Oryzias latipes: one gene and its partners. The protein of the gene in region 1 purifies or fractionates together with the protein of each later gene. This does not show direct contact. Links are inferred from orthologs where the notes say so. Each region holds a gene or a part of one and is shown on either strand. Other genes may lie near its edges.

Region 1 (3,753 bases):
ATTTACTGAAGTAAAATCGATCAGGGATATCTTAAGCCAAAAATTCAACCAGCGTGACTCAGAGATTAACCACAGTTTTTCCGACTGGGCGGTGTCCTGTCTGACGTGGTGCTGAGTGGTGTGGGAGCCCCACAGGGCACTGTGCTCTCTCCATTTCTGTTCACCTTATACACCTCAGATTTTTAGCACAACTCAGAGTCATGTCACCTACAGAAATTCTCTGATGACTCTGTGGTTGTGGGGTGTATAAGCGGTGGACAGGAGGAGGAGTACAGGAGGCTGGTGGATGGATTTGTGGAGTGGGCTGGAGAGAATCACCTGCTGCTCAACGTGGACAAGACCAGGGAAATGGTGATCGACTTCCGGAGGAAAAGGACTGTCTTACAACGCCTCTGCATGGGCAAGGATGTAGAAGCGGTGGAGGAGTATAAATATCTGGGTGTGACTATCGACAGCAGACTGAGCTGGAGGAGCCACAGCACTGCTGTGTACAAGAAGGCCTGCAGCAGACTCTACTTCCTTAGGAAGCTGAGGTCCTTTAATGTGTGCAGCAAGATGCTGGGGATCTTCTACCAGTCTGTGGTAGCCAGCACCCTGTTCTCCTCCTTGGTCTGCTGGGGAAGCAGCATTGCAGTCAGTGACACCAACAGACTGAACAAGCTGATCAGGAAGGCGGGTTCTGTCATTGGCTGCAAACAGGACACCTTTGAAGCAGTGATGGAGAGGAGGTCCCTGAACAGACTCCTTTCAATCATGGACAACCCAGAGCATCCTCTTCACCCTCTTCTGAACAAACAGCGGAGCTCCTTCTCTAGGAGGCTCAGACAGCTCCGCTCCAAAACTGCCCAGTACCAAAAGTCATTCATACCCAATGCAATAACCCTGTACAACACACAATGCAAAAAATAACCTTTGCACATCTTTTATTACCTATTTATTTAGTTGTTTTCTATTTTGCACATTTCTTTTGCACATCTTCTACTTGCACTGTTCTGTAAATAGCTTTTTAAATTATAATACCTTGATGTCTGTATTTATGCTACATTTTCTTGTTCTTGTTTTTTTTTTTTTTTTTTTTTTACTTAATTCTTAGTCTTTTTTCCCCTCTGCTGTCAGTTGCTATGGTGACAAACAAATTTCCCACGTGTGGGATCAATAAAGTATCTCTGATTCTGATAACACCTTGAAATGATGTATTAAAAGGTAAAGGTTGAATTAGGCAGCTGACTTTAGGCAGATTAAGTAAACTAGTCGTTACATAAGAGATCTATTTTGAAACTTCAAGGATACAGGAACTATGAGGCAAATTGAGTCTCTCCCCGTGTGAGTTTAAACCACCATTACGATATGATTGACAATGTGTTTTATAAAACAATTGAATGTAATGATCGAGAAAGCTTACGTTTTTTCACTTTTTGACTGTTCCCTTTAGGGAATGTCTCCGACCATTTAAGCTGTGTGCATCTTTGCTCACACCAACCACTTCTCACTCCACGAACGTCTTTGGTCTGTCTTTCATCCACCATAAGGTTTCTCATTCATTTCTGATCAACGGCCTGAACGTGTGGTGTTTCACCAAGTACCAGCAGATGGCAGCATGCCACCATCATCGCGTTGGTTCTACCGGGAGGCCAGAAGAAGAAGCGTGAACAGGAAGTGACCATCTGGCGAACATTAGCCTGGAAGCCCACGGGCTAACAACTCATGATATGACGTTTGGACCTTAATCAGTGAGTTTCAAGTCTGTCTGTTTGTTCCGAGGCTTCCTCTTAGCCTCTGTTTGGGTCCAGCTCTAAACAAGGTTCGGTCAGGTTGTTCGTATCCCGCTCTGAACTCGTTCTCTTGTCAGAGTTGTTAGTTAGCTTCTCGGAACTTAGGTTCCGATAAAGCCAGGTTACACTAGAGACCATGGTTTGGTTCGAGTTGCATGTTTGGATCTGCACATACATAGTCCGGCCGTCCACCCTCCAGGTGAGATGTGCTTCTGTGTGTCACGTGACGTGATTAACAGGTGGCATTACAGGGCGCGTGGGGAGCTGACCTCAGTTTGACAACGCTCAGACATCGAGGAAAGATCACAGGTGCGGCCGCAGTGTAAAAGTGAAATAATGAGGGTTTGGCTGGGTAACAGTCATCTTAGTGAGGCAGTTTAGAACGGTTCAGGGTCCGGGAATACTTTGAAAATGCCACGTGGGTTATACTGGGAGTTTGTTTACAAAAAGAACAGGTGAGTGCGGAGAGGGCTTCTTCAACCACGTCATCATAGTTGTACTGCTCGCATTTTAAAGTTTCCTGGGTTTTTTTTCTTCATAATACTTTTATTAGGGCACATTGAATAAATACCTATGTAAACTGAAGCAGCACTTAAATGCTAACTGTGTTTGATACATTCAATCAAAAAATGAACAAGTAAAAGTATAAAAAGGAAACACGTTGAAAATAGATCAAAAGATCAGGCTGGTTATGGTTAGTCCGGTCAATTCTGAGTTGGTTACATTCACACGGAAAGCTAAGAGTTATTATCGGTGGTGCTCTATGACAAATGAAACTCGTGATGGCTGACGCTAAGCTCCGCCTCCTGTTTGCAGGTGTGTCATCGTGGGCGATGGCTCTAATCGAAGGTGTCGGCGATGAGGTGACGCTGCTCTTTGGCTCACTGCTGGTGTTGTTGGTGTTGCTGCTGGCATGGATCTCCACCCACACCTCTGAGCCCCCAGAGCACCTGTTCAATGCCTCTACAGACCCCACCCCCACAGAAGGCACCGTCTCTGCCCCACAGGACACGCCCCTGTCCTCCACCAGCAGCAGCTCCTTGTCTTTCTCTCCAACGTCATCCTCATCTTCAGCTGCCAGCTCTGTGAATGACAGCGTCCCGTCAGAGGCTCCACCCACGACCTCCGCCACACAGGAAGGTAGTGAGGTGGGGGGAGGAGTCAGACACAGAGCAGGGGGGGAGCCATTGTCCTCCCCAAGAAACATGGTGGTCAGACTAAAATTTCTGAACGACACAGAGAGAACGGCTCAAGTCAAACCACAAGACACCATCGGATACATCAAACGGTAACTTTTCTATCGTATCTATCAGTTTACTTTATTGTACTGCACTACATGGTATTACACTGCACCACACTTCACTGTACTACACCGTACTTTATTCTACTTTTACGTACTTCATTGCAGTACAATTTAACACAGTGTACTGCACTGCAATGGACCATATCACACCATACTTGTCTGTACTCGGTACTGCAATATACCACACTATTATCTATGTAGTATACAGTATTTCACCGTCCTTTACTGTACTTCATTGTACTACATCTTACTACACAGTACTAAAATAGGCTTCAGTGTACAGCACTGTACTACATTGCATTACATTGTACTTACTGTACAACACTGTATTCACTGTTTTATATTCTAGTATACCATCACACTACACTGGAATAAACTGTAATACATTGTACTGGACTGTAGTTTACAACACTAAACTCTAATTCACCATCCCATACACTGAACCATACTGTACAACACAACACAAAGGACTGCATTACTGTAATACGGTGCACTTTACCATACTATATTGCACTACAGAATTGCCACCTTATTCGCGCAGGGGGGGGTCAGAGGCACCCGGAAATACTGGAAGCACCCCCAACCCCTGTGGGGGAAGAATGTCCGCCACAGATCCTCACTCATCAAAAACCCTTCTGAAATATTTCTGATACTTTATAAAACATTGAACATTGGAAT
Region 2 (3,753 bases), on another chromosome or scaffold:
GCCATGATGCAGGAGCCTGTGTAAGAATATGTTAACATCTTAAAAACCATAAATAATCCACATCTAAGTAAAATATCTCATTGATGAGGGTTTGACACAACTTCCAACTATTAAAATTAAAACAAAACCTGTTTTACAGGAGATTTAGAAGAAATTAGCACAAGATTGTACAATTTCCTCACAGAATATCAAAAGTACCTTCACTAATAAATTGTGTGAGGAACCCCTAAACTATACTTTGCTTCTAAACTCTTTCTTACCACAGAAAAGGTGTCCACAGTTTGTTTCCACGGGCAGAACCGCCTGCTGCAAACAGACGGGGCAAGACATGTCTGTGTAGAACTGCTGCCTGGCCTCTGCCTGAGGGTTTTCATCCTGACAAACCACACGCAGAGAACACGTCTCACCATTGCAAACAGGACGTTTGACAAAATAAAATACACAGAAAGACATCTTCCTAAAATAGAATCGGTGATTCTGCAGAGCTGCAAAGATCACTGTTATGAAATATTTCAATGTAGTGGTTCTGATTCTGCAGTTCCTCCATTTCCTGTGTCTGCCTGCTTACATATGTTCTTAACTCCTCACTGAATTTTAAAGCCTTTTGAGGTGACGATGAGCAAACAGTTTAAACTCAATTCAATACTGAAGATACTGGCCGTCTGTATATGTATATGTATAAATATTTTTAAAAATGTAGTTTTAACTTACTCAGATAAATAAATAAATAAATAAAAAGGTTATTTTAAAGTATTACAACTCCAAGAGTTAAAAAAAAAAAACAAGCTACATTTATTTTCTGTTTACTTGTTTGATTTTTTAAAAAAATAGAGCAGTGAATGATTTTATTTTGAAACTCAGAATTAAGCAACAGAAGAGAAAAACGGCGCTCTGTGGCTACAACTAGTCTAGGTTTTGCCAAAAACTTTCTGGGGTTCTTTCTAGGTTGCGCACCTGTTCAGTTTGAAGCTGCTGTCGGACCGCTCGGACATGCTCCTGGTTCTCAGGGTGGATATTCTGCTCATCTTGCCTTAAAAAAGAAGACAAAGAATAATGATCAGACACTAGGATGAATTATGTCATATATGATTGAATTCATCCTTAAATCCCTGACTTGAAAAATCCAAAAACAAAAAGATTGCAACAGATTAACGCAAAGAGAGGCAATCTGAGTGTGTCAATTCTCACTTATGTGTTTCTGCCTGAAGGACAAAAGGTTTTCAACCGTCGTTGCGGTAAGAAATGGATCAATGAAAGAAAATTTCATAATGATGATGTAAGTAAAATGATCTGCCAACTTTGATTGGAGCGCAAAGACCATCATTTTGCTCGTTGCGCAGGGAAACGAGCCTGATCGATCTGGCGTTACTTCAGTCGCTTTAAATTCTAGAATTAGCTCCTATATCTGTGATATCACATAAATTAAACAGCAGCATAATTTCTCCAATCAGCAGAGAACAGCACAGTAAAAACACTGCATGAACTCAATGCTGCCAGTTTTTGCACAGACTTGTTGGTCTTCATTACCTGCAGAGAAGAGTGAGGAGGCCCGCCAGGAAGGTCAAACTGAGAACTACAACAAACAGGACCTGGTTGCTGACACCTTCGATGATGGTGTCCTCATCCTGGATCAGGTAGTCCAGCTCTCCACATTGACTATCCCCCATTCCCTAAACTCATATCCTATGACTCTGGAAAATGAGCAGAGAAAACAAACCCGGAAATTCTTTATCTCCAAAATAAAAGCCTTCAATGGAGAACAGAATCTTTTTAATTGTACATTTTCCTGACAATTTGACACAATTGTAAACATAAAAACCAAACAATATAATGTGAACAATTTAACAGAACAAAGAGAGTGGATAATTGTTGAAAGCTGGACTCTTTTGGGGTTTTGTTACCTCATTCCTGAGCAGCTTATCGAGAATTCTTGAAAGCAAACGTCATTTGTAAACAATTAATGTTTACTTATAGGTTCATTTATCTTAACGGAGGTTTTCAGACCTCATTACTTTTTAACGCTACACAAACGATTATTATAGTCATTTATAACTAGGATTTAAAAAAAGAGAGGATTATTATCGCTCGTAAACAAATACAGAGCCTTATGCTAACAACAAACCTTAAGGTAGTTCCTGAAGTGAAACTATTTCATATCACGTAAATCGAAAGCACTGACGAAAATTAACATGAACGTGTTTCAGACAGCAAAAAAAAATACAACAAAAAAAGAAAACATTTGTTTTAAAAAATAGAAAAACAAAGACTTGCCATAGTTAGTAGTAGTAGTAGTACCTGCTAAGAAGTCCACCGTCACGCGGTAATGTCTGTACACAAACTTGGCCTGTTAACTCCATTCACTTCCTCGAAACATACTATTAATTTAAGCGCCTGATGAAGGACGCAATCAACAAACTTGGTGAGCAGGAAGGCTTGCATACGTTTCCAAATTTCACCTGATCATCGCATGTTGATGCAGTCACTTTCTACTTCTTACTCAATTTTGGTGGTTTCGTTTGTTGACAGCAAAGATCCCTGGGGCTCTACCGCTCCCTAACGGCCAGTTTGTGAACAACTTATTGTCATGATCTTTGCTTTAAGTTTCATGGTTATCGTGGTCATATCATAGGCAGTTTAAACGACTTGTTCAAATAAATACATATGGTTTTAATAAAGCAATTTTAAAGTTAAAGAGCAAAATTTTTCATTTCCTGGGGAAACTTAAAAAAATGCCACAACTGACACTGCCACAGAATTTGCGACTCAATGGTAATTGACACACAAAAAGAAAACAATTGTTGCACAGTATTTTCCTCACTATATTGGTTCAATGCTCATCATCAGTACATTCGTATGGAAGATTTCTGTAGTATATTTTAAAATGAAAGTCAATACCAGAAATGCTTTTTCAATTTTTAAAATGAAGCTGCATTTGTAATAATTTATAATAAAAAAAAAAACAATCCGACCAAACCACTTTTTCTTTTTCTTCTTCTTCAACACAGCTCATTCTGTCACTTAATTAAAATGAGAAAGAAAATGGTATTCGACATTTTTTACTAAATGTGTAGCATAATGTAATTAGAAATATCTTCTTTGATCATCAAAGTTTATTAACAGAAATGCTTTTTCATTTTGAAAATGTAACTGCATCAAGTGAATTAAAAAATAAAATTACAAACGAATGAGCCAATCTGCTTTTCTTTTTCTTCTTCAACACCGCTTATTCTGTGGCATAATTAAAGCGAAAATGCAAAGATGGGATTGCATTTTTGTTTTCACATCCACCGTGCGAAAGGTGTAATAATTCATCACCAGTTCATTCCATTGTGGCTCTTTTTCAGACCACTGTCACCCTGACTTCCATTTCCTCTTTTGATCAGTAGGTGGCAGTAATGAGCCTGACCGTAAATCATCTACCGGAGAAGAAGAAGTAGCGTCATCACACCGATGCGTATGGCATTACAAGCTAGCGTCTGTGGTTAAAGATACTTAAGATCTTTATCACACCGCATTTTTCAGAGAAAATGCCTCGCTATGCCCAGTTGGTGATGGGCCCGGCTGGTAGCGGAAAGGTATGTTTTCAAAAATGCCACTGGATGGTCTACAGCCTCTTGTCTGTTGTTGCTAACAGTACATGAGGTGGTGTCAGTCACCCAGCGTGTTTTTATTTTGTTATTGTGTTTTGCCATTAATTGTATCTTTTTAAAATATTATTATTAATATTTCAGAGTACGTACTGCTCCACCATGA
Region 3 (3,753 bases), on another chromosome or scaffold:
GTCTGCTTGATTTTGAACAGGTTTTTTTTCTTTCTTCAGGATCAAGACTGGAGCTGGACTCAGTCTGGAGCAGTGAAGGTCCAGTCTCAGAAGCCATGAAAACTTTCCAAAGATTACAATGTCTGGCATATCAGAAACACTCTATGTGTGCCTATACATTATCCTCTTTGACAATAACGTATAAAAAGTGTTTTTAAGCTGTCCATGAAAAAATGTTAACATATTTAATGAGTGTTTTGTCCTTAAATATTAAACATATTTATTTTCAGATGAATCAAAGTGCATTATTTTTGTTAAAAGAATGTGTTAACAATGGAAGGTGACCTGACGTTTTTATAAAGGTGTTAAACACAAACATTGTTTTGTCTGAGTCATCCTTGTGAGTAATCTGAATGCCTTTCTTATAGTTAATTGCATGAAGAAGAAAAAAACAAGAAGAAATAAAGTTTTTTAAATTATTTGGTTGGAAAATCACCATAAATATCATTTTTAAACCTTAAGACTTGCATGAAGGTACCTTCTCATGTCATTTTTGCCTAGATAGATTTTGGGATTTTTACAGTGTTGTGTTATTTTCAGTTTTTATAAGTCATTTTATTTGTACTCATATTTTTGTTTGCTCTGTCCAATTATTTGGTTCCCGAATCCCTTATTTCTCATTTGTTCTTTTTTTCTTCTTCAAATTTATATCTCTTAATGAGTGATCTATGCCCTTTTTGTTTGTTTTTTTTAAACCGTCTGCCTTTTTTGTGTCATAGTTTGTGTGTCATAATTATTATAAATATTCATTTTTGAATAGGTCTTTGTCAAAGTATTAGTTTTGCCATTCATATTTTTATAGAAAAGTTGACCCTAAATTATAGAGTTTGCCACCGAATATTATTTTTATTTCTTTTTTAAAATATTTCCTGTACCAAATTGTCCAGGCTCAGAAACGCAAAATAACTAGAAATAAGAAGAAGAAAAAAACAATTTACTGTCCCCAGGACTTTTTTAAAATCGCATTTGGCTTTTTTTCGACGGTCCCTGAAGTAACTTCGATGAAGCAAATCAGCGTTGGAAGGGGAGGAGTGACGTGAGGGGGATGGTCCGTCGAATGATAAGACCAGAGTGCAACTGTTCGATACTTGGGTAATTTTTCATTTTTTAAAACCATATATTTATTGTAATGTTTCAGATGTTTAAATAATCAACAGCATTGTCCATTATGTGAATATTAGTTATATTTTATTGCCGTTTGACAACTTGAAGTTGCGCTTAGGTGCAATTTGCCGACGGAGTAAGCGATTTCCGAATCCACCCTTAGAGAAAGCTAGCTAGCTAGCTAGCTAAGCGAACCTGCTAGTAGTCTTCCGTTTTCCACTTTCTCAATGAGTCGGTCATGTTCGAGTATGCAGATTTGTATCGTTTAATTTCTGCTTTATTACTTTGTAGAGGCATCTCACTTGCTGCCTTTTTAAGAACAAGTTATAAAGCAGAAAGAAGCACGCTAGCTTTACACTTCCCAGCATTCCCATTAGTTCTCGTGTTACGCATCGAGGTTCCATTACATTTCAAAACTGATCTTCACCATGTTTAACAACCAACGTTTTACTTGATTTAAATTGTAGGCCAAAACATAATAAACAAACGTTCAATCTTTTTTATTATTGGGCTGTTTTTGTTACTTTACAGATTTAATACAAAATTGATTCACCCTGCAGCAAATTTGGTTCAATGTGTATATTGACACCTAAATTGCACATTATGCGTACTTTAAATTATATTGTGATGCAGTATTGTTGCTAGAACTCTACAAAACCTTAGGATTTCGACCATATTTTTAGTGTTTTCTCGGGTGTGTCAATGTTTTCTTCAGATAAGTGCGGAAAGGTCCCCTGTTTTTCTGAGTCTGGGACTGTGGGTATTTTGATTCCCTTTCAGTCACTGCTTATCGTTGTGTAAATATTTCTGCTGATTGACATTTCCTTTTTTTCTGGCAGGTGTGTGTAAGTGAGGATGACAATGCCGCATGTGGGGGCAGTATTTGCAGCAATGGCAGGAGTGGTTGCCCTCATGCTGCACTCCTCCATTCACAAGATAGAGGAAGGACACCTTGCCGTCTACTACAGGTATTTCATTCGGTTTTTTTACGTCTGTAGTTTGTGAAAAACACCTGTTTTTCATAGTTGACATTAATATCTACCAATTGGGACCTACTTGTTTAAAGATAAATCCCAATGAAAACTGGATTTTTTTTAACACTTTCTTGTGGTATTTTACTCATGATGGAGGACATATATGAAGAAAATTAAGTTTAAAATTGTGGTTCTGCTTTGCAGAAACTGTCCCAGAAAATGACATAATCATAATTAAAAGACCACTTGGAATCCTTTTCAAACAAATCAATAGATGATTGCAATGGAGCTTTAAAGGATTTTGAGAAATTTAAATATACTTTACATCTGGTGAGGCAGATTATAAACGCAAAGACAATATGGAAGCTGTACTGGGAACTCGTTCATTTATTTATTTATTTATTTGTGTATGCGGATATGCACCAAGCAATGCTTGTTTTTGTTTTTTTTGTTTTTTTTCCAGAGGTGGAGCTTTACTAACTACTCCCAATGGTCCAGGATATCATATCATGTTGCCTTTCATCACCACATACAGAGCAGTGCAGGTAAACAGATACTTTTGCACTGAAACCCAACTTGTAGTAGATGTTTTTTTTTTTTTTAAACTAAATTCATTTAAAACTTTCGTTGAATCCGCTTGGTCCAAACAAGACTCCCTTGGGAGGTGGAGGTGTTTTTGAAAAGTTCTCAGTCAAAATTTATGATTAAACATATTTACTCAGCAAGGATCTATAATAAATAAAAAATAAATTTTGCACCATTTAGTTGCATAATTCTAAAAAAAAAAAAATTTTGCTTTTGCTTTCAAAGCTTCTTAGCTGTAAGGAACAAATTTTTATTGAGTGGCTAATTCCTCTAACTATTTCTGATCTGCTTAAACTTGATCCTTTGGACATAAATAATACAAATGTAACACAAATGAGAATAATTGAATCAAATGCTATATTTTCCACATTTGTGATATTTCTTTTTTCTAATAGATTTGGGATAATGTTGTCTCATTTTCATGTGTTTAGTTTTATTTCTCTCAACTTTAACATTCGGGTCAAAATATGTTTGAACTTTTTGTTTTAGACCACGCTTCAAACTGATGAGATCAAGAATGTGCCTTGTGGGACAAGGTATGACTGTTTACAGAGACACATTTTCAGAAGTTAATTACTCTTTAGATACTATTTGTTTGAATTAAACCTTGTTTTTTTTCTGTAATAGTGGTGGTGTGATGATCTACTTTGACAGAATAGAAGTTGTAAATATGTTGGTCCCTACAGCAGGTATGGTGTATTCAAATCTTTGTGATTGCAAACGTTCCTGATCGACTTTAACCACCGTGTCTTTGTTTGTAGTGGTGGACATTGTGAGGAACTACACGGCCGATTATGACAAAACTCTCATTTTTAACAAGATTCACCACGAATTGAACCAGTTTTGTAGCGTCCACACACTTCAGGAAGTCTACATTGAGCTGTTCGGTGAGAGGCTTTGACTGCTTCAATAAGTGTTCCTTCCTAAAACTCCAAATAGTTTGTATTTGAATAGTTTGCCTTGTATCCTGCAGATATTATAGATGAAAACCTCAAAACTGCACTGCAGAAAGATCTGAACGCTATGGCACCTGGACTTACAATACAGGTAT

What was found. Proteins that work in one complex are often made in the same cells at the same time.
Region 2: the proteins of tmub1 (region 1) and E3 ubiquitin-protein ligase RNF170 purify together in Homo sapiens (affinity purification with mass spectrometry; 3 studies listed by BioGRID and IntAct, with this or other methods). This does not show direct contact. The link is inferred for Oryzias latipes from reciprocal best matches to the Homo sapiens genes TMUB1 and RNF170.
Region 3: the proteins of tmub1 (region 1) and erlin-1 purify together in Homo sapiens (affinity purification with mass spectrometry; 3 studies listed by BioGRID and IntAct, with this or other methods). This does not show direct contact. The link is inferred for Oryzias latipes from reciprocal best matches to the Homo sapiens genes TMUB1 and ERLIN1.

The regions. Positions count from the first base shown.
Region 1 is NC_019875.2:10,863,647-10,867,399, reverse strand, and holds the start of tmub1 (transmembrane and ubiquitin-like domain-containing protein 1), read left to right. Parts: upstream 1-1,550; 5' UTR 1,551-1,971; intron 1,972-2,049; exon of another isoform or gene 2,050-2,227; intron 2,228-2,588; 5' UTR 2,589-2,605; coding exon 2,606-3,060; intron 3,061-3,753. UniProt on the Homo sapiens protein: Involved in sterol-regulated ubiquitination and degradation of HMG-CoA reductase HMGCR. Involved in positive regulation of AMPA-selective glutamate receptor GRIA2 recycling to the cell surface.
Region 2 is NC_019870.2:16,803,636-16,807,388, reverse strand, and holds the start of E3 ubiquitin-protein ligase RNF170, read right to left. Parts: upstream 2,521-3,753; 5' UTR 2,272-2,520; intron 1,692-2,271; 5' UTR 1,668-1,691; coding exon 1,528-1,667; intron 1,031-1,527; coding exon 955-1,030; intron 376-954; coding exon 261-375; intron 17-260; coding exon 1-16. Other genes in the region: gpn3 (GPN-loop GTPase 3), read left to right, coding at 3,528-3,575, 3,732-3,753. UniProt on the Homo sapiens protein: E3 ubiquitin-protein ligase that plays an essential role in stimulus-induced inositol 1,4,5-trisphosphate receptor type 1 (ITPR1) ubiquitination and degradation via the endoplasmic reticulum-associated degradation (ERAD) pathway.
Region 3 is NC_019873.2:23,877,369-23,881,121, reverse strand, and holds the start of erlin-1, read left to right. Parts: upstream 1-1,026; 5' UTR 1,027-1,131; intron 1,132-1,197; exon of another isoform or gene 1,198-1,279; intron 1,280-1,979; exon of another isoform or gene 1,980-1,982; 5' UTR 1,983-1,998; coding exon 1,999-2,111; intron 2,112-2,580; coding exon 2,581-2,662; intron 2,663-3,191; coding exon 3,192-3,238; intron 3,239-3,329; coding exon 3,330-3,391; intron 3,392-3,463; coding exon 3,464-3,589; intron 3,590-3,675; coding exon 3,676-3,749; intron 3,750-3,753. Other genes in the region: inhibitor of nuclear factor kappa-B kinase subunit alpha, read left to right, coding at 40-99. UniProt on the Homo sapiens protein: Component of the ERLIN1/ERLIN2 complex which mediates the endoplasmic reticulum-associated degradation (ERAD) of inositol 1,4,5-trisphosphate receptors (IP3Rs).